3 linked regions of the Callithrix jacchus genome follow. The protein of the gene in region 1 interacts with the protein of each later gene in a pairwise test. Links are inferred from orthologs where the notes say so. Each region holds a gene or a part of one and is shown in the gene's direction. Other genes may lie near its edges.

Evidence for each region.
Region 2: the proteins of C19H1orf35 (region 1) and FXR2 interact in binary tests that used the Homo sapiens proteins (3 or more experiments, as listed by UniProt). The two-hybrid records come from large-scale screens. The link is inferred for Callithrix jacchus from reciprocal best matches to the Homo sapiens genes C1orf35 and FXR2.
Region 3: the proteins of C19H1orf35 (region 1) and SRRM4 interact in binary tests that used the Homo sapiens proteins (3 or more experiments, as listed by UniProt). The link is inferred for Callithrix jacchus from reciprocal best matches to the Homo sapiens genes C1orf35 and SRRM4.

What each region holds. Positions count from the first base shown.
Region 1 is NC_133520.1:38,923,167-38,931,072, reverse strand, and holds C19H1orf35 (multiple myeloma tumor-associated protein 2), read left to right. Parts: upstream 1-3,132; 5' UTR 3,133-3,222; coding exon 3,223-3,316; intron 3,317-3,393; coding exon 3,394-3,544; intron 3,545-3,753; coding exon 3,754-3,799; intron 3,800-3,880; coding exon 3,881-3,963; intron 3,964-4,062; coding exon 4,063-4,135; intron 4,136-4,286; coding exon 4,287-4,372; intron 4,373-4,917; coding exon 4,918-5,046; intron 5,047-5,125; coding exon 5,126-5,237; 3' UTR 5,238-5,638; downstream 5,639-7,906. Other genes in the region: ARF1 (ADP-ribosylation factor 1), read right to left, coding at 7,892-7,906.
Region 2 is NC_133506.1:74,094,879-74,102,085, reverse strand, and holds part of FXR2 (RNA-binding protein FXR2), read left to right. Parts: intron 1-6; coding exon 7-78; intron 79-181; coding exon 182-330; intron 331-1,042; coding exon 1,043-1,136; intron 1,137-2,557; coding exon 2,558-2,674; intron 2,675-7,207. UniProt on the Homo sapiens protein: mRNA-binding protein that acts as a regulator of mRNAs translation and/or stability, and which is required for adult hippocampal neurogenesis. Specifically binds to AU-rich elements (AREs) in the 3'-UTR of target mRNAs.
Region 3 is NC_133510.1:122,264,749-122,271,955, forward strand, and holds part of SRRM4 (serine/arginine repetitive matrix protein 4), read left to right. Parts: intron 1-914; coding exon 915-1,025; intron 1,026-1,658; coding exon 1,659-1,799; intron 1,800-3,861; coding exon 3,862-4,177; 3' UTR 4,178-7,207. UniProt on the Homo sapiens protein: Splicing factor specifically required for neural cell differentiation.

The sequences.
Region 1 (7,906 bases):
ACCCAGCCTCCTCCTGCTCTAGTGGGCTCCCCCGGGACCCCCACCACCCCTCTGCTCCCTGACCTCCACCCTCCTGGGTCCAGCTTCACTGCTGTCTACATAGAGGGCACCACTGTGACTTAATGCCGCCACCCAGCAGGCAGGCCATGCCACCTCCACCCCAGTAACCCCTCCTGTGGCCTATGGCTTGTCAGGCTAACGGGCTCAAAACTGACCTGGTCTCTTCCCCACAAACCTGGTCCTCATGTTGCTAAGTGGCTGCATCCTCATAGCTGCCCAGACCAGCCTCAGAGCCATCCTGGACTCCTGCCTGATGTCCACCTGGCCCTGCTGTCCCTTCACCATACCTGACATCCAGTCAGGGGTCAGACTCCACAGCCGAACTCTGCCACGTCGGCCAAGTCCACCCTGATGTGGCAAGCCGTACCAGCACCCAGGAGATGATGCCCTCCACCCAAGGGAGCCTTCCCAGGAGTTGACCAGTGGCCTTCAGTGTGCCTGGATGTGGCCTGCTGCTCTGCCCTCTCCATGCACCTGCTCCATGATGTGAACTCAGGCAGCACCGCAGTGGGGCGTACGGCAGCTGGTACTTGCTGAGTAGATGGATGAGCCAGATGTGGGCCGTCTGCCAGGTGTGCTAACAGCCTGACCCATGGGCTGGGTCATTGAGAAACAGATTTCGCACAGTTCTGGACACTAGACCTGTGTTTTCACCCAGTTCAACCTGTGGCTGGAATTGCCCCAAAAGTCGTGGCAGGAGGGTTCCCACAAGGGAGTGCCCCACACCATCCTGAGGTGGGGCCGGTTAGGATTCAACAGAAACACTGAGCACACCAGGGTGATGTGCTCAGAGCATTTATCGAGAGCTTCCGTACAGAGCGGACTGCAGCAGTTCTTCCACGGGCAGTGAAATGAATGTTCTCTAGGTATATCCGCGGGGAGGGAGTTGGAGAATGAAGTTTTTATGAGGGTTTAAGAAAGCAGGCTCAGGCTGGGTCCAGTTTCTGTTTTGAGAAACAACCTAGATGCTTTCATCTGTGCCTGGCAACATTCAAGGCTGCTGCGCGGGTTCAGTCTGCAGAGGAAAACATCGCTGCCCAGGTCACAGAGCAGCCAAGGGACTCTTTCTCGGTCAGCGCTGGGAATGAAGTGAAGGGGGAAGCAGGGGGACGCCACAATGTCCAAAACCAGGGTGCCCAGCATGCTGAGGTTCTAGTGAGGGGTCTCTTCCAGACTGCACACTTTCTTCCTACAGGGTCCAGCCCTATAGGGTCCTTTGAGCCCCTCTCTACTGGCGCAGAGATGAGAAACTGGAAATAAAAGACACAAGATGCTGAGATAGAAAAAAGTCTGGGCCCAGGGGTCTACTGCTAACCAGTATACATGGAGACCAGCAGTGGCCCCGAGTGGCTGGACACTCTGACTTTTATTGAGTACAAAGCAGAGGGCCGGGTAGGTAGGGTGAGGCAGTGGCGGTCAGTGATAGGGTCAGGTAAATCACGTGTCTTGGAGATCGGGGCCCAGGTCCTTAAAGTGGAGGAGGCGAGGAGAAAACCTAATGCATCAGCACTTCTTCATACTTGTCGAGAAAGAACAAAGACATTAAAATTTATGTTACTTTTACTCATTCTAATCCAAGAAGAGGAACCAGGTGCAGAAGCGGAACATGAAGGTAGCCATGGAACGTCACCGCTGAGGCACAGCACAGCATAGAGACGGTTAAGCCCCTGAATGTCTGCAGGCCTCCCTGACAGCCACCAGGCCTACCGCAAGAGCTTGCGGGGAGCAGAGTTTTCTCCTAAGTCCTCCAAGGGAGGAGACATGTCAGACGTCTCCTTCCCTAGCTGGCTAAACAGCGGGCGCTTTCCCAGCGCTAATGCTGGCGCTGCCGCACAGCCGAGGTGCCTTCCAGCAGCCCTTAAGCAGGTGTGACAGAGGGCTTAGAGCACCTTGCTCTAGGGTCACCTCTTTCACAATGTTACTTCAGTTCCATGCTTCATGGCCCGAGAATCATCAGCAAAATTAAAAGGTTATATTGAGTATATATATATATGATTACATATGCATATGTGATTATGATTATAGGAATAACTGTGACTATATCGCTAATTCTTTTCTAGTTCAATATTTATATGGGAACAGGCTGAGGCTTCAGAGCCTTCCTTGCCTTGGCCCTTGCGGGGTCTCCCATCCACACCTTCCCGCCGCCTTCACGCAGTGGAAAGCTGCACAAGCCCTTGGAGTCCCTTTAAGAAGGCTCTGCCCTCTTGACCTAGTCACCTCTGAAACACCAGCGCCTTGGGGTGAGGATTTCACATGTGCACATTCAGTTACCGCAGCGGGGACAGGACCAGCTCTGAGGGCGCCTGGGCAGCTGCTTTTTCATCCACAAGTTCACTGGGTAATTCTCAGAAACTGCACAAATCATTAAGGGCATTCCCTTGTTAGGCGCCCCATACGGAATCGCGGCCGGCGGTGACCAACCAGTTGATGGTGTTAGCTAGGCCTGTCTTAGGAGTTTTCTTTCTTTCTTTTTTTTTTTTTTTTTTTTTTAAACGAGACAGGGATCTCATGGGCTCAAGTGATCCTCCCGTAGTCCCGTTGGGACTAAGCGCGCTCCTGTCCTGCCCATTTTAACCTTTTTTTTTTTCCAATTATTGGAGACAGAGTCTCCCTCTGTCGCCCAGGCTGGAGTGCACTGGCGCGATCTCGGCTCACTGCAACCTCCACCTCCCGGGTTCAAGCAATTCTCCTGCCTCAGCCTCCTGAGTAGCTGGGATTACAGGTGTGGACCACCACGCCCAGATAATTTTTGTGTTTTTAGTAGAGACGGGATTTAACGATGTTAGCCAAACTGGTCTGGAACTCCCGACCTCAAGCGATCCGCCCCCCTCGGCCTCTCAAAGTGCTGGGATTACAGGCTTGAGCCACCGCGCCCGGCCCATTTCAATCCTTTTTAAACGTCCAGTTCAAAGTCGTTCCCCCGCCGGGCAGGGCCGGTGCAGCAGTGCGCAGGCGCGCGAGGGCGGTGCATTCCGCCGGGGCCCAGAGCGCTGAGCCGGGACAGTGCGCTGCGCAGGCGCACGGGACGAAGCTGAGCGGGCTCAAGAGTGACGTTACGGCGCGCAACGCGGAGGCGGGGTCGGCCCAGGGTCCGACGGTAGAGGGTAGCGGGTCCGGGGTCTCAGGTCGCCGGCCGCAGGCCACGGTCGCCCCAGCACCATGTTCGGCTCCAGTCGCGGAGGCGTGCGCGGCGGTCAGGATCAGTTCAACTGGGAGGACGTGAAGACTGACAAGCAGCGGGAGAACTACCTGGGTGGGTGGGCGCGGCGGGCGGGCTCCGGGCTCCGGGCTCCCTGGCGGGCGCTGGACTCACGGCGCCTACGTCCGCAGGCAACTCGCTGATGGCGCCCGTAGGCCGCTGGCAGAAGGGCCGCGACCTCACCTGGTACGCCAAGGGCCGGGCGCCGTGCGCGGGCCCGAGCCGCGAGGAGGAGCTGGCAGCCGTGCGGGAGGCGGAGCGCGAGGCGCTGCTGGCCGCGCTGTGAGTGTCGGCGGGCAGCAGCGGGCGGGGCTTGGGACCGCGCGGCGGAGGCTGGTTGGGGCCGGGGGTGAAGGCTGGGGGCCCGGCTGGGCGGGGGCGGAGTTGCGGGGACTCGCTCGGGCGGGGCCCTCAGGACGAAGGCTGGAGTGGTGAGGACGCGTGCTGGGAAGAGATTCACTCCCCTGACGCCTGCCTCGATTTCCTCTCAGTGGCTACAAGAACGTGAAGAAGCAGCCCACGGGCCTGAGCAAGGAGGTAACTCCCCGGGGTGGGGGCGCGTGGAGGGCCGTGGGTGTGGGGCCGTCCCGAGAGCTCCCTTTGCTCCCCCACCTGCAGGACTTTGCGGAGGTCTGCAAGCGGGAAGGAGGCGACCCCGAGGAGAAGGGCGTGGACCGGCTGCTGGGGCTGGGGAGCACCAGGTGTGGGCCGGTTTCGTGGGGAGGGAGGGTCTGTGTGGGCTCGGTTACTCGGGTGAGGCGGGCCCCTGCCGGACTGTCCTGATCGCTGTGTTACTGCAGTGGCTCCGCAGGCCGCGTGGCGCTGTCGCGAGAGGACAAGGAGGCCGCCAAACTGGGGCTGTCTGTGTTCACGGTAACCACCCCCCACCCCTCGCCTGATCGCATCGGGGCCCACAGGGGTGGGACGGGCAGGGCACGGCATGGCACGGAGCTCCCTGGGGCGCTGCGGGGCGTGGTGTGGGGCCGGCCCGCACACTTCTCCCCAGAGCGCGCTTCATCTGCAGCACCACCGCGTGGAGAGCGGCGGGCCCGGGACTTCAGCAGCCTCGGCCAGGAGGAAGCCACGGGCGGAGGTTCAGACTGAAAGCAGGTGAGGCCGCCCCGGGGGATCTCGGGAGGACTGGAGCGGCTCCTAGGCAGGCAGGTGGCAGCTTCTCTTTGCGCACCGGCCTTGGCGGTGGCCTGCCCTACTTTCCTTCCTGTCTCTTACTCCTAGGTTTTTCCCCAGCGGAGTTTCTCGGGTCACCCTTGAAGGGAGGTCCTAAGTAATGGCAGTGGTTGGGGGCTGTGCTGTAGGAGGGCACTCATGACCTGGGCAGGAGCCTTTTTCTGCGTGGGTGGCACCTCGAGGGATTTTCCTGGGTAATGAGCCTGGGCTGTAACCCCAGGAGTGGCCTGTGGGTGCAGGTACGAGGAAGGTGTCACCTTGCAAGGGCACAGCTCAAGTGGAACAGGGCCATGCAGTCGAGATAGGGATATTGCATCTGTCTCAGTGGCCATGTGACTGCGTGACTGAGGAGCGAAATCTGTAATCTCATTTAACTGATTTAAAGATGCATTTGTGGGTGGTGGCTTCATCTCCTGGATGGGACCTGCCTGTGCTCACTCTCTGAGGCGCATTTTGTACCCTCCCAGCTCTGAAAGCCACAGGAAAAGCAAGAAGGAGAAGAAGAAAAAGAAAAAGAAGAAACACAAAAAAGAGAAAAAGAAAGACAGAGACAGGCGACCAGCTGAGGCCGCCACCTCTCCCACATCTCCCGAGAAGTATGCCCTGGCCCATGTCTTGGGGGTAGGGGTTTGGTTGACCCCCACCTCTATGAGTGACTGCCCTTGGTCTTCCCAGGCCCAGGCACTGCCACCATGACTGTGACTCCGACTTCCCCTGCTGCAAGAGGAGGAAGCGGGGACACAGTGGGGACAGGAGCCCATCTTGCAGGCGGCATGACAGACTCTGAAGTCTGATGGTTGGACCCTGCTCACTGCTACTGTGGGAACTGGAACTCTCCCTTCACCTTGCTTGCCTCCTGCCTCAGGAAAGCCCCTTGTGTGGGTGAGACCTGAGGCTGCTCCTGTGGAGTGGCTCTGGGCACCAGCCTGTGGGGTAAAGGCTGCACAGCTAGCTCTGGAGCAGCCAGCTTCCTGGAAGACCTCCAGGTTTCGCACAGCAGGGATGGCCCCTGGCTTGCCCTGCGAAGGTGAGCCTGCCCACAGGTACCCGTAGAGGCTGGACTCCCCGTGTCCTGCTCATGGCTGTAGCAGCCATGGGCCTATGAGCAATCTACCTGTGGCCAAATACGGTGATCTCTATTTTTCCTTACGTTGACTCTATATTTCAATAAATATATTTTAAAAGAAAGGTGTATCATCCTAATTGGAAGGTCAGTATCAGGAGTTAACGAGATCCCAGGATGGAGCTGCGCCCTAATGCTTCGTTAACGTCCAAGAATGCAGTCCTCCCATGGGTGCCCAAAACCCTACCCATACCCAGGGAGGGCTGAGGCCCTGGAAAGGGGTGCTCAGCTGGCAATGTGGGGACCTGGGACAGGTGAGGTCAAGGACTGCAGAGTCTGGAGGGGTAACCTCAGTTGAGTGAGGTTTGGGGACTCTACCTGCCTGCCAAGACCCAGCTGCCTCAACCCTCAGCTCTGCTTCTTCTAGGGCAGTGGGCTAGGTGTCCCGTTTGCCTGACCCTGAGAAGAGTCAGGGCTGTTCAGGACATGTGTGGGCACCTGGACTGGATCACGGCTCACTGCAGTCTCAGAAAACTTCCTTAGGGCCCTGGCCAAGGTGTGGCTCCTGTGGCTTTGACCTCTGCCCTTGCCCTCACATAGCCACTGGAGTGGAGATGGCACTATCTGTCTTGGGCACTGTCAAGGGGGATGAAGGTCGGGCCACCTGGCCAGGACATCCTCACCTTTTGGGACTCTGCCCAACAGAACACAGACCTTGGACCTGCTGATGGCTACACCCCATAGAAGTACCCCCAGACTGGCAGCCCTCTGCTTCATGACATTTTGAGGAGAGGTGGGGGCTGTGCCCACTCAGGCAGGGACCATTCCCCGGCTGGCACAAAGCACCATGTATGCTGGCAGTGGCCCAGCCCCACAGCCAGCAGGCTGATGGGAGGGAGGGAGGCTGAGGTCTTATATAGTGCCTGCTGACTCCTGTCCTGTATGGCCCAGGTCTCACTGGCTGGGCCCAACAGGACTGCAAGCAGAGAGCAGCAAGGTTACTGTGGGCAATCGTGGTGGAAGAGCCTCTCACACAGACACAGGGAAGTTCCTGCACACTCAGGAGAGGGAATGTGGACTCAGGTGGTGGCCCTACGCAGTCACCTGCACTCCTAAAGCTGGCCGCTCCACCCACCGTCTCCTGGGGGCAGTCTGCCTGTGCAGAAACACTGGAGAGCCGGTGAAATAGTTAAGAGATTTTATTCTAATAGCTATAATTACAGTGCTTGTTTGTCGAAATGAAAACTGAAAACAAGTATACAAAACGGTTGATTACCAATCGTGTACTGAAAGCAGTAAGAGGCTCCACGACACCAAACAGACCAGTTCTGAGGTTTCCCCAAGATAAATTTAACAGCTCCAGCTTCTTCAGTGTTTATCAAAATACAAAAGAAAAAAGTAGAGGTTCTTTTTCGATGGCAAATCGGACCCTTGCAGGCTGAGGGAAAGAAAGCTACGTCACACACGGAGGTGGGGTGCTCCCGAGGGGCTGTGGGTCTAGGTGGACCGCCTGCCCGGCTTGCACGCGCTCCTGCTGGTGAGACCCCAGACATCCTGCCAAAGTGTCTGAGCGAGCACGAGCAGTGGGAATGACGGACTCACTCTGGCCACATGCTGACCGAGGGACAGGTGAGGCCCTGTTTCCCACAGGCTGCCTGAAGGTGGGCGGGGCGGCCTGCAGGAGAGTGGGGGCGGTTGTGGGCTCCCAGCCTGGCCCCTGGGAACCATGGGGGCACAAGAACAAGCACATGGCTATGGAATGCAGGGTGACCCAAGGACAAGCGAGTTGCGGGATCTCTATTGTGACCATGCAGAATTGATCGCGGTCTGCCGCGCCACCGCCTCACATTCCCAAGGGGAACAGCCGGGCTGGCGACCGGCATCCAGGCCATAACTGCAAATCTATGCTAGGCAGGGTCTCCCTTCTGTGTGTTCAAGTGTTCTCGACTTGGATTTTTAACTATTTAAAAAAATGCACTGAGTTTGGGTTAAAAACCAACCACCAAAATGGATTTTAACACAGCTCTAAAGCCAAGAGCGTGCCCGGCTTTCCCAACACATCGACTCCTGGAGGCCAGGTGCCCACAGGCCTACATCCCCTCTCAGCACTGAACAGTGAGTTGATTTTTCTTTTTACAATAAAAAAAAGCTGAGTAATATTGCATAGGAGTACCAGAAACTGCCTCATTGGGAACAAAAACTATTTACATTAAATAAAAAGCCTGGCCGCAGGCTGCGTCTGCCACATTTACAGCACGGTGCGATGCACACGGTGACCAAACCACGGAGGCAGCTTCTGGCACTCACACCACAAGCCGCACGTTTGCCACATGAGAGTAAAGCAGAGGGTGAGAGGAGTGAGAGGGAGGGGATTGCGTTCACTTCTGGTTCCG
Region 2 (7,207 bases), on another chromosome or scaffold:
CTTTAGGTTTATTCCCGAGCCAATGAACAGGAACCTTGTGGCTGGTGGCTGGCCCGGGTGCGGATGATGAAGGGAGATGTGAGTGAATGGGAATGCCTTTGGAACACTACTGAAACAAATATTTTATTAATAGAAAGTTGCTCAGGTCATCCACAACTTCTCCTTTTTTACCGTATACCAGTTCTATGTCATTGAATATGCTGCCTGTGATGCCACCTACAATGAAATTGTTACCTTGGAGCGACTTCGGCCAGTTAATCCCAATCCCCTTGCAACCAAAGGCAGCTTCTTCAAGGTTACCATGGCTGTGCCCGAGGATCTGAGAGAGGCGTGAGTGTTAAGGATGGTGGGAACGAGGGCCCTCTTGACAGTCCTAATCTCTGGCTTGATTTCTCCCAGACCTCACTCCCACTTTGCAGTTTTCTCTGTTGTTCCCCTGGCCCTCTAGAACCCTTCTTGCTAAGAAGACACTCAGTTCCTTTATTTTTCCATCCTTGTTCTTTAACTGTGGTCCCTCTTTTTTTTTTTTTTTGAGACGGAGTTTCGCTCTTGTTACCCAGGCTGGAGTGCAATGGCGCGATCTCGGCTCACCGCAACCTCCGCCTCCTGAGTTCAGGCAATTCTCCTGCCTCAGCCTCCTGAGTAGCTGGGATTACAGGCACGCACCACCATGCCCAGCTAATTTTTTGTATTTTTAGTAGAGATGGGGTTTCATCATGTTGACCAGGATGGTCTCGATCTCTTGACCTCGTGATCCACCCGCCTCAGCCTCCCAAAGTGCTGGGATTACAGACTAGAGCCACCACGCCTGGCCCCTCTTCTTTTCTGAGCCCTGCTCTTTCTTCTCTGAATTTTTTTTTTTTAAATAGAGACAGGGTCTCACTATGTTGCCCATGCTAGTCTTAAACTTGTGGCCTTAAGTGATCATCCTGCCCTAGCCTCCCAAAGTGCTAGGATTATAGGCTCAAGCCACCATGCCCAACCTCCCCTGAATTCTTCACTCTTCTGCATTCTGCCCTCTGAGTACTTTTTTTCTCTGCAGCTGCTCCAATGAAAACGTCCATAAAGAGTTCAAGAAAGCCCTGGGAGCCAACTGCATCTTTCTCAACATCACAAATAGTGAGCTCTTCATTCTGGTGAGTTTATTCTGCCTGAATTTCTTTTCTTTTTTTCTTTTTTTTTTGAGACCAAGTCTCACTTTGTCACCCAGGCTGGAGTGTGGTGGCTCCATCTCTGTTCACTGCAACCTCTGCTGCCCTGGTTCAAGTGATTCTCCTGCCTCAGTCTCCCAAGTAGCTGGGATTACAGGCTCCTGCCACTGTGCCCAGATAATTTTTGTATTTTTAGTAGAGATGGGTTTTCACCATCTTGGCCAGGCTGTTCTTGAACTCCTGACCTCATGATCCACCCGCCAAAGTGTTGGGATTACAGGTGTGAGCCACCTCGCCCAGCCTATTTTGCCTGAATTTCACACAAGCCCTTTGAACATTTTTTCCCCCTTTTAACCCCTATGCAGAAAGGGAAGGGCTTAAATGTGCTTACATTTATTTGTCAGAGAGGACTTTATTTTTCCTGATTCCTAGAGGCCCAGGTAGCCTTACCTTTCTTTAGTTTTCCTCATGTATGAGCTTTTTTAAAAACATGATAATCCTGTTGCCATCTGGGTTGGGGAACCTCTCTTGATATTTGGACTTTCAAAAAGTATATAGCTCTCACCTTACAGTTGCTCCTTGCTTTCTATTTTTATTTTTATTTTACTTATTTATTTATACATTTTTTGAGATGACGTTTCGCTGTTGTTGCCCAGGCTGGAGTGCAGTGGTGCGATCTCAGCTCACCGCGACTTCTGCCTCCCGGGTTCAAGAGATTCTCCTGTCTCAACCTCCCAAGTAGCTGGGATTACAGGCATATGCCACCATGCCTGGCTAATTTTGTATTTTTAGTAGAGACGGGGTTTCTCCATGTTGGTCAGGCTGGTCTTGAGCTCCTGACCTCAGGTAATCTGTCTGCTTCTGCCTCCCAAAGTGCTTGGATTATAAGCGTGAGCCACTGCACCTGTCCTGCTCTTTGTTTTCTCTCTAAAACCACTTTCCTTTGGTACCCCGATAATGAGCCTTTGTGGGACTCCCCCTTCCTAGCTTCATTTCTTTTTGTTTTGTTTTGTGACAGAGTCTTGCCCTGTCATCCAGGCTGGAGTGCAATGGCATATTCTCTCAGCTCACTGCAACCTCTGCCTCCCGGGTTTAAGCGATTCTCCTGCCTCAGCCTCCTAAGCAGCTGGGATTACAGGCCCATGGCACTACACCTTGCTAATTTTTGTATTTTTAGTAGAGTTGGGGTTTCACCATGTTGGTCAGGCTGGTCTCAGACTCCTGACCTTGTGATCTACCTGCGTTTGTCTCCAAAGTGCTGGGATTACAGGCGTGCGCCACTGCGCCTGGCCTCCTAGTTTAATTTCTTAACCCTTTTCCAGGGATTTAGGACTGATTCCTGGTCCCTGCCTCTCCTGCAGTATTCCAAGCCAGTTTTCGTGACTTTCCCATTGGTTTCCTCCTAGTCAACCACAGAAGCCCCTGTGAAGCGGGCATCTCTGCTGGGTGATATGCATTTCCGAAGCCTGCGCACCAAACTATTACTAATGTCCCGCAATGAAGAAGCTACCAAGCACCTAGAGGTAATTGTTAGCTCCTTTTCCTCCTGCTGAAGGGTATTGTCTTCCTCTCTTCCTACCCTGTCTTCCACCCATGCTCTTGTGTTTACAGGATAAAGAGTTTTTTACTGGGCAATTAAACGTGGGTCAGCTATTTTATCTCAGACTCCTCCAGATGACAGAGCTCTGTCATGTCATAGTGAAATTATTTTCAAATTTCTTTTAGCCAAATTATTTTTTTAAGACAGAGTCTTGCTGTGTTGCCTAGGCTGGAGTGCAATCTTGGCTCACTGCAACCTCCACCTTCCGGGTTTAAGCTGTTCTCATGCCTCAGCCTTCTGAGTTGCTGGGATTACAGGCGTGGACCACCGTACTCTGCTAAGTTTTATGTTTTTAGAGGAGATGGGGTTTCTCCATGTTACCCATGCTGGTCTCAAACTCCTGGCCTCATGTGATTCACCCATCTTGTCCTCCCAAAGTGCTAGGATTACAGGCGTGAGCGCCACACCTGGCCGATGGTACCCTCTTCGATGAAGTGAAATGTTACTTGGAAGCACAGTGCATAAAATGAATCAGAGCAGCTCTGTCTAAAAGTGGAAAGGGGGCATGACTCTTACTTCTACCAATACCCCTAAATCACCTCTGGAAACCAAACTGCTCTGCAGGATATATTTGAGAACCATTTGGTTTAAAAAAAAAAAAAAAAAAAGAAATATGAATGTCATTTGAATATGAGGTAGACATTTAAAAAAGAGAGAGAACTAGCCGGGCGCGGTGGCTCACACCTGTAATCCCAGCACTTTGGGAGGCCGAGGCGGGTGGATCATGAGGTCAAGAGATCGACACCATCCTGGTCAGCGTGGTGAAACCCCGTCTCTACTAAAAATACAAAAAATTACTTGGGCATGGTGGCGCTTGCCTGTAATCCCAGCTACTCAGGAGGCTGAGGCAGGAGAATTGCCTGAATCCAGGAGGCGGAGGTTGCGGTGAGCCGAGATCGCGCCATTGCACTCCAGCCTGGGTAACAAGAGCGAAACTCCGTCTCAAAAAAAAAAAAGAGAGAGAACCATTTGGACAATGGGAAACCACTGGACTTGGAATGCTAAGTCTTGTCATATAATTGTCTTTTGGCAAATACATTTCATTACACTGAGATTTATCTTCTTCCTCTGTGACAGTGAGGTCAGTAGGCTAGATTGTTTCTTTTTAAAAAATTTTATATTTAATTTTTTTCCTATTGGTTCATTCTCACAACTTAATAGATAAACTAGAACATTTCTTTTTTTCATTTTTTTTTTTTTAAGATGGAGTTTCTCTCTTGTTGCCCAGGCTGGAATGCAGTGGTGCAATCTCGGCTCACTGTTGGAACCTCTGCCTCCTGGGTTCAAGCCATTCTCCTGCCTCAGACTCCCAAGTAGCTGGGGTTACAGGCGTGTACCACCACACCCTGCTAATTTTTGTGTTTTTTTAGTGGGGACAAGGTTTTGCCACATTGGCCAAGCTGGTCTCAAACTCCTGACCTCAGGTGATCTGCCCACCTTGGCCTCCCAAAGTGCTGGCATTATAGGAGTGAACGACTGCTCCCCGCCTCATTTTTTTCCCCTTTGAGACAGGGTCTCACTCCCATTACCCAAGCTGGAGTAACATGGCTCATTGCAGACTTGACTTCCTAGGTTCAGGTGATTCTCCCACCTCTCCCTCCATAGTAGTTGGGATTACATGTGTGCGCCACCATGCCCAGCAATTTTTTTTTTATTTTTAGAGGGAGTTTCACTCTGTTGCCCAGACTGGAGTGCAGTGGCACAATCTTGGCTCACTGCAACCTTTGCCTCCCCGGTTCTAGTGATTCTCCTGCCTCAGCCTACCAAGTAGCTGGAGTTACAGGTGTCAAGCACCACACCCAGCTAATTTATATATATATATATATATATATATATATATATATATATATTTTTTTTTTTTTTTTTTTTAAATTTTTATTATCATTATTTTTTATTTTAAAGACAGAGTTTCACCCTGTTAGCCAGGATGGTCTTGATCTCCTGACCTTGTGATCTGCCCGTCTTGGCCTCCCAAAGTGCTGGGATTACAGGCTTAAGCCACCACGCCTGGTAATTTTTGTATTTTTAGTAGAGATAGGGTTTCACCATGTTTTCCAGGCTGGTCTCAAGGTCCCGACCTCAAGTGATCTGCACCTTGGCCTCCCAAAGTGCTGAGATTATTGGCATGAGCCTCCGTGCCCAGCCTTGCTGTGTTGCCCAGGCTGAATGTAGTGGCATGATCTTGGCTCACTGCAACCTCCGCCTCCTGAGTTCAAGCAATTCTCCCGCCTTAGCCTCCCAAGTAGCTGGGATTACAGGCACCTGCAACCATGCCCGTCTAGTTTTTGTATTTTTAATAGAGACAGGGTTTCACTATGTTGGCCAGGCTGGTCTCACACTGCTGACCTCAGGTGATCCACCACCTCCCAGAGTGCTAGGATTACATGCGTGAGCCACCGCACCTGGCCAGTATTTTGTATTTTTAATAGATATGCGATTTCGCCATATTGCCCAGGCTGGTCTTGAACTTCTAGGCTCACTCTTGAACTTCTAGGCTCACTGCTAGAATTACAGGTGTGAGCCACCACACCCAGCCTAAATATTTCTTTTTTAGGCAGGGGTAGTGGCTCACACCTATAATCCCAGCACTTGAGTGCTTTGGGAGGCCGAGGTGGGTGAATCACCTGAGGTTGGGAGTTCGAGACCAGCCTGGCCAGCATGGTGAAACCCCATCTTTACTAAAAAGATAAAAATTAATTAATGGGGCATAGTGGCGGATGCCTATAATTCCAGCTACTCGTGAGGTTGAGGCAGGAGAATTGCTTGAACCCAGGAAGTGAAGGTTGTGGTGAGCTGAGATTGCGCCATTTCATTACAGCCTGGGTAACAAGAGAAAAACTCAATCTCACAAAAAAAAAAAAGAATTTTTACTTTTTTATTTTGTGAGATAGCATCTCTTGTCACCCAGGCTGGAGTGCAATGGTACTATCTTGACTTATTGCAACCTCTACCTCCCAGGTTCAAGCAATTATTCTGCCTCAGCCTCAAGAGTAACTGGCTTTACAGGCATGCACCACTACACCCAGCTAATTTTTATATTTTTGGTAGAGACGGGGTTTCAACATGTGGTCAGGCTGGTCTCGAACTCTGGATCTCAGGTGATTTGCCCACCTTGACCTCCCAGAGTCCTGAGATTATAGGCGTGAGCCACCATGCCTGGCCTGACTAGAGTATTTCTATGATATCTTTTTGAATTCTGACATCTTAAAACTATCAGATTCCCTTTTTCCTTGGTGTTATACTATTCTAAGTGAATAGGGTGTGTGTGTTTGAATATCCATTTCCATTTATCAAGTGAATTGATCTTGTTGGGCAGCTTTTCTCTGCACCTTTGCAAATTCTGGGTCATGATAATCTTTGGCTTCTTCAGGGATCCTGCTCAGGATTCCTGGTACTAGTGGGTAAAAGCTTACCATTACCCTCAGATGATGCAAACTTTATTTTTTGTTTTGGGAAGGAGTCTCGCTCTGTTGTCCAGGCTGGAGTGTAGTGGAGCAATCTGCAATCTCCACCTCCCAGGCTCAAGTGATGATAAGTGATCTTCCCACCTCAGCCATTGGGTAGGTGGGATTACAGGTGCAAGCCACCACACCCGGCTATTTTTTTTTTTTTTTTGAGACAGAGTTTTCCTCTGTGTCACCCAGGCTGAAGTGCAATGGCACAATCTTGGCTTACTGCAACCTCCCTGTAATTCTTTTGCCTCAGCCTCCCAAGTAGCTGGGATTATAGGCTCATGCCACCAAGTCTGGCTAATTTTTACTTTTTCAGTAGAGACGGGGTTTCACCATGTTGCCCAGGCTGGTTTTGAACTCCTGACCGCAGGTGATCCACCTGCCTCAGCCTCTGAAAGTACTGGGATTACAGGCGTGAGCCACCACACCCGGCCTGATACAAACTTTTATCTGCTTCAGTTTCCAATGTGTAGGTTTTCTGATTGACAAAAGGTAGAATATTTAGCTGTCCTAGGACTTACTCTATTGATCTGTCTGGTAAAGTGTACCAAATAAACTAAACATAGCCATAGGTGCAGTCTTTTTTTGTTTGTTTAATTTTATATTAACTTAAAAAATAGAGATAGGGTTTTGCTGTGTTGGCCAGCATGGTCTTGAACCCTTGGTCTCAATCAGTCCTCCTACCTCAGCCTCCCAAAGTGCTAGGGTTACAGGCATGACCCACACTACACCCAGCTGCAAAGATTTAAGAACAGGGACATGTGAGGCCGGGCACGGTGGCTCACGCCTGTAATCGCAGCACTTTGGGAGGCCAAGGCGGGCAGATCACGAGGTCAGGAGATCAAGACAATCCAGGCCAACTTGGTAAAACCCCGTATCTACAAAAAAAAAAAAAAAAAGAATGAACAGGGACATGTATTTGTTGTTGTTTTTTCAGAGTTTTGCTCTTGTTGCCCAGACTGGAATTCAGTGGCATGATCTCGGCTCACTGCAACCTCCATCTC
Region 3 (7,207 bases), on another chromosome or scaffold:
GTGCAGTGAATAGAAATACCTGACATTATCCTTTCAAAGTGTCCAAAAACACGTTTCATCTTGACTCCTTCTTATATCTCACAATGAAGAGCCAAAGCATAAGCTGGCAAAAGCCCATTTTTCCAGAGACCACACCCGGACACTGCCCAGGACACTGATAATGGAGAGCTATTCCTGCCCCTTTTCTCTAAAAGTGGGAGGCATTCGCAGAGAGCAAAGAAAACTGGGAGGAGCATAAGGATTAGTCATTTAGATGTATAATCATCTAGTCTACAGAAATCAAGAGCACTTTGCAACCAAACAGATTTGAATTCAATTTGATTTAGAGGCAAACAGATGTGGGTTCACATCTTCTACCAGCTCTGTTGGGCAAAGTGCATCACCTCTCTGTGCTTCTGTTTCTCCATCTATGAAGCGAAATTGCTAATAGTACCTAACCCTAAGATGTGTTGAGGATTAACTGAAATAATGAACACAAATCGTTGGTTCAGTCTGGCAGATAATACAATATGTCACAGTCATAGCGTCCTGTTTAATTGGTACTTAGCATAGGTGCCAATATGCTAAGTGATTTACCTGAATATACTCATTCAATTTACAATTGTATAGGGAAAGAACTATTATTACCTGCATTTTACGGACACGAAAACTTGCCCAGAGAAGCGAAATCATCTGCCAACGTCACACAGCTAGTAAGCGGCCAGGGTAGTAAGCACAAAATAGAAGTTGTTGGTATTATTCTTAACCACTCGTGGGGAGGGGCTTTCACTCTTTGATCTGGGCCCAGTTCCTCTGCCTGGTTTCCAGAAAGAAAAAGATCACCGCCCAGGACCCACTGAATAAAGCACAAGCCTTCTTGAATGACCCAGGCGGACACTTAGCAGGCTCCTCAGAGGCTGTTACCTCTCCCCCAGGTCCTACTCCCGCTCTCCCAGCTATTCCTCCAAGTCTGGCAAGAGGAGCCCACCCAGCAGAAGCTCTCGGTCCCGCCGCAGTCCCAGCTACTCCCGCTACAGTCCCAGCAGGTACCGGCCCCGCCCCTGGCGCTGGTCCCGCCCCTCAAGCTAGGCCCGCCCTAGGCTCCACCCCTTTGCGCTGATTCTCCTCTCTGGCCCCGCCTCCTCGTCCTCGGGCCTTCTACCTCTTAGGTCTGACCCTGACTCAGCATTCTTGCAGGTGCCTTTGCCCAGTCAGGAGTGGCAGCCAGGCGCCAAATATATCCTTGTTTCCTAATGTCTCCAGCCCAAACACTCCTACAGACACACACACCCCAATTCACATGCCCAGCCCTCAGCCTCTACCCACCATCACTCTATTCAGAGCCCCCAGTCCTTACCCAAGCACCAAGGCCCACGTAACATTCACGTCCTCAAACCCCTGCGACACCTGCACCGCTGTGATGCCCACCTGCAAAGGCTGACACCCCTGCACGCGCCCAGCCCCCACCCCTACGGTACTAACCCTCGCAGACTTTTCCCGCAGTCCCGTCATCCTCCTTTCCGTCACCCTCCTTCCCGTCTCGCGTGCGGCTCCATGCAGATCCCATCCCCTGACCCAGTGGGGTGGGAAAGAAAGAAAGTGAGTGTCCCTCTCCCACGAGCTCACGCAGAAAATCCAGCCCAGCCCTAGCTCCCCAGTAACCCCCAGCGCCCCTTCAGGGAGCGGGATCCCAAATACAGCGAGAAGGACTCGCAGCAGCGGGAGCGCGAGCGAGCGCGTCGGAGACGTCGGTCCTACTCGCCCATGAGGAAGCGCCGGAGAGACTCCCCGAGCCACCTGGAGGCCCGGAGGATAACCAGGTAAGGCCAGGGGGCGGGGGGGTCCCACCTTCACCCTCGTTCCACCCCCATTCTTACTCATTTGAGCCTCAGGCTCTCCCTAGGCCTGCTTGGGTCTGGGATTCAGGATGGTGGAAGCTTAAGGTCCCCCAATCCCAACATAATTGAAATTATATGTCTGTTCGAAGCCTCGGGACTGAGTCTCCCATCTCAACCAGCAGGGCCTACCAGAAGAGGACGGGGTGGGGGGTGGGCCACAGGCGGGGCCACCCTGAAGATCCAGTGTGGTCTGGGGGTGTGGTCGAGGCCTGGGGGTGGAGCTGGGGCCGGGGAGGCCGAGCTGGGAGAGAGTGGCGTCAGGCCAGGGAATGGAGGCCAGTCAGTGGGGTAGGACCTTGGCCTCCTAGTGGATCCCGGGCAGTGGAGACAGAGCCTCAGACCTGTACACTCAGCTGTCAGGCTTAAATAAACCTGTATGTAATTATACCTTGAATCAAGTGAGGGGAGGGGTAACAGGATTGCTGGGATGCCAAAAGTACCTTGAGGGAGCCACGGTGGATGAGCCAGAGAGCACTGGATGTGGAGTGGAATCCTGGATGTGCCTCTTTGCAGGTGACCTGGGAAAGGTTCTTACCTTCCTGAGTCTTTTTCTCACCCATGAGATAGTGGAGGAAATAACTCCCAGAAGTATCATAACGATGAAATGAAAAGGGGCAAAAAGATGTGAGCATGCTTTGTAAACTTAAATGCAGAGCACACAATGTGCCATTGTTGTTGATTGAGTGGTCAGAATAGGTGGATATGTTTCCTGGAACAAGTAAGGCCTCAGAAGAGAAGAGCTCTCGCAGAGAAATCTGAGCGCAAGCAAATTTCTTAGGCCTTGAAAGCTGGGAAAATAGCTGAATACTGCCCTAAGATTGGGTTGGGCTCTTGTTTCTGGTCTTCCAAGGATCTGCCACTCAGGCCAGAGATTGGACTGAGGAATCAGGGATCCTCCCTGGAGATGACTTGGAGGAGGAAAAAGAATGTGTGCCCCAGATAGCAAGACTAGAGTGATGGAGTCCCCTTCTCAAATATCTTGCAGACCACCCTGCCTCAGCTTGTAACCCTTGGGAGGCAGAGGTGGGCAGATTGCTTGAGATCAGGAGTTTTAGACCTGCCTGGGCAACATGGCAAGACTCCTTATCTACCAAAAACATAAAACACTAGCCAGGCATGGTAGTGTGCACCTGTGGTCCCATCTACACCAGAGTCTGAGGTGGAAGGATCATTTGGCCCCAAGGGTGAAGGTTGCAGTGAGCTGAGATTGCGCTACTGCATTCCAACCTGGGTGACAGAGCAAGACACTGTCTGCAAAGAATATAATTAATATAATATATATAATTCCTAAACCCACTTCCTTGATCCAACGTCACACGTAAGTGGCCAGGATAGTAAGCACAAAATGGAAGTTGTTGGTATTATTATTATCTATGGGATCAGCCTGGAGGAGAGCTAAGACAGAGTGGCATTTCCAAAAGGCTGTCTAGTTTCTTTAGTCAATCTCAAATAATTCGTCTTGATTAACCCATTCAGTGTTTCCCAATTTTCAGTCATTCAGCAGCATCTTTACCACGTATGCCTTGTCTGCTTATCAACTGTACTATTCTTAATTTTCTTTAAATAGATATGACCCTTTTAAAAGGTTCATACATTTATTTCTAAAGGAAACGATATGCTACAGTAAGTGGAAAATTAGCCTCTTTTGCCATAAATAGATGGTTCTAGTAAAAGTAAAAATAGCAAAACAAAACTATGATTAAAGTTTAGATGTAGATTCTGTTGCAAGCTGGAGGCTTTGAGCCCCAGGCTTGCTTCATGGGGGAAGAAAAGAGTGAGATAATCGTTTTTCAAGACTAGCACTAAGCTGAGACTTTTTACTTTGATGTGTTCTTAGGACCGCAAGAGAACTGGAAAAGGAGGATTTTTTCGGAAGGGACTGGGAAAAGGGAGGATACTGGTTTCCCTTAGGACAAGACTGGGGCTCTGTGCGGGAAGGCTGGGAGGGACCGGCCCTCATCCCTCCTCTCTCTGCTCTCTGCAGTGCCCGGAAACGCCCCATCCCCTACTATCGGCCCAGCCCCTCTTCATCCGGCAGCCTCAGCAGCACCTCCTCCTGGTACAGCAGCAGCAGTAGCCGCTCGGCCAGCCGCAGCTACTCCCGGAGCCGGAGCCGGAGCCGGAGCCGGAGCCGGAGCCGGAGTCGGAGCCGGAGCCGGACCCGCACAAGCAGCAGCTCTAGCTCCCGCAGCCCCAGCTTGGGCTCCCGCAGCCGGAGCCGGAGCAGGAGTCGGAGCCGGAGCCGGAGCAGGAGCCGGAGCTACAGCTCAGCAGGCAGCTACTCCAGCACGAGGCGCTAAATGCCCCTGAGCCAGCTGCCCGTGGGGGCCCCTTCGCGCTGCCAGCCTCCCCCAACCACCTGCCCTCCCCACCTTCTCCTTGGTAACAGATAGTGAGGGCTCCTATACTTGTCCTTCCTGCTTGCCTGGGGGAAGAGGAGAAGAGGGTACGGGGGCTTCACCCTCCAGGTCAAGCTGCTAGGAGCCTCTACCAGCACCATCCTGGGGCCCAGCTCAGGCCTGGGCCTACGGAGAGAACCATCCTCTTGTGGCACAAAAAGAAAAGGAAAGAAAACCTCAAGGTTTTGTAAGAAACAATGGGTCCGTGACTCAGAAATTGAGCCCTGGCCAGGAAAATGTGGAGACCGTTCTCCTCACCCACTGCTCACAGGAGGCCCATGGGAATTCTCCCCACCTCCCTCGATGCTCCCCTCCTCCAACCTCATGGCTGCACGTGGATGGACCCCCATGTCGGAGAGTTGTGGAAGAGGTGATCAGTGGCAGTTCAGGTTCAAGTTAAGGGGGTCAAGCCTGTAACTTCCTCAAACAGGCCAGAGCAAAGGCTGGAAGACACCTGGGTCCTAGAAGAAGAGATATCCTTGAATACCAGACATGGACATTTGACTTGGTGGGAGGTGTCAGGAGATAGGAGATGGGTTCTCTGGTTATGACGATAGATAGCAAAAATGGAAGGGGTCAGTCTGCTGCTCCCAATATCTCAGCACGGTCAGGGCGCAGGGCCCAGCAGATCCCAGCCATGGAGAGGCCACCGTATGGCTGACACAAAACACCTCTTGGCCATTTACAGGGGCCCTGCAACCTCATAAGAAAGGAGATAGTGGGAGAGTCAGGACAGGTTGGTCTCCAGCCCCACTTCCCAAATACGCCTCAGCCCCACTAGCTGGCACCAATTTAATTCCACGGGACCATCTGCTGAATATTCCCCAATGCCATGGCTGGTTGCCAGGCCCCAGCGCCAGCCAGTCTGGCCATACCCTCCAGTGGGTGCCTGCCAGCCCTCTCCCCTCTGCCCTGGCTGCCTTGCCCTGGATGCCACCCAGTGCAGCCTGGCACTTACCCACCCACCTTTCAGGTTATGCCACTCCCCTTGCCTCTCAGGAATTTTGCCAGGATGGGACACAGCAGCTCAGGTTTGGGGGAAAAGACCCAAATCCAGAGTCCAGGGGAGAGGGGCTTGGATGTGCCCTGTCTTGGGCTCCTGCTGGCTTCTGAGGTTTTTTGCCAGCTTGGGAAAGACTCACCTTTATTTCTGCCCTCACCCCAAGTTCCCCCTGCCCGGGGCTGGGCAGAGAGGGTAAGCTGATCTCTGATACACAAATACCACCAGCTGCTTCATCCACAGAAGGCTCTAAGAACAGGGAGGTGAGGAATAAGATCCTTAAAATAAACTCTTGGGCATCCCCCTCACCAGCTGACTGGCTTTCCGGAGGCTTGTGGGTGAGTTTCAAGTTTGTGGTGGCAACAGCAATGGGACAGGGCATGGAGGGAGCCAGGGAGAGAGGACAGATCCAGCTTTTGGATATTTTGGGTTACGGGGAAGCAGGGACCAAACATTCTTTATCCCTCCCACCCCAGGGAAAAGATTTGGAAAACAGTCCTTTCTCTTGGAAGCAGTGACCTCTCCCCTACCCAATCTTTCCCATCCTATCAACCCACGAGGTTAGAGACAGCCATGCAGCCACCACCACGACAGTCCTTCCTCCATCAGGAGAGAGGATCAAGGCCCCCAGGCAGCAGTGGATGACCGGCCTTCCCTCGCCAGGCCTCTGGCCCAGACCTAAGCCCCACCCACAAAGACTAATGGTTGCCAATGCTGTCACCGCAGAAGGCCAGATGGCAGGTGACTGGGACAGGGGCAGGTGCCCTGGGGAGGGCATGTACAGCCACTGTAAATAACCCTCGTCCCTACCCAGGAACCCAGACTGGACTTCAGTCTCCCTCCATGGAGACAAAGGCTTCCCGGAGCCACCAAAAACCTTAGCAGGACAGCTGTGAGAGGCAACGGAGCCTCGCCTTTGGACTGCCTTCATCGAGACAACTCTAGGGGACCATTTTGCCTAGGGCTCCTAGCAAACCTTTTTATTTATTTTATTTATTTGTCTGTTTGTTTATTTATTTATTTATGTGATGACTGGCTCTCTCTCACCATTAGCAGTATTTAATTAATTATTTATTTATACAGAGCGGGTATGTTTGTGTGTGTGTGTGTGTGTGTGTGTGTGTGTGTGTGTGTTGGGGGGGGTCTCCTCCTAAATTATTTTTGTGCATCTCTCTTTTTTCCTCCTGTTTTTACGGATGGGGTTTGAGAAGCCAAAGGTGGCTGGGCTATTGGCTTTCTCCCTGAAGGCTCTAAGCCTGGAACACCCTGGAGTTGGCCCAGAAGGAGGCACATCTGTCCCAAGGTTCATCACTTAACCCAGAGTCCAGGAGAGTCAGGCCTGTGCCCCAGCCTCCTGTCCCCCAGATACCTCCCTGGGGAATCAAAAAGATGGAAACAACCCAGAGGCTTATGAGCTATGGCAATGAATTGACATAGTGGAGTTGCAACGTGGGCGGAGGTCAGAGTTGAAAGTTGGCACATGGGGCCAAGGCTGCCCAAAGTCGAAATCCCTTGTGAACGTCCCTTAGGGAGGCCCCAGACTGGAGACAGATGTGCTATATCTTAGCAGATCCACAAGGCTTCAGTTGAGTACTTACTGAAGTAGTTGCCTTGTATTTTGAGGGCCATGGTGGATGAAAATGATGTCTGCTTTAGTACTGGAATTGCACGTGTGGTTGATGAGGTGCTCACACCATGAGAATGGAGGCAGGAACTGAGCTGACTGAGGGAAGACACACACCTTGATCTCACCCTCACTCCAAGGCACATAGCAGGACCCCTCCCTAGCTTCTCTGAGCACACCTAGTTGATTTCATGTATGTTACACGTGCTTCCACTCCACAGTACCTAATTTCTCTCTGTACCCTGAGATGTGAAGGCTGCTTTGTGTAGAGGCATCGGCCATCCTGGGTGAGACCCACCAACCCCAA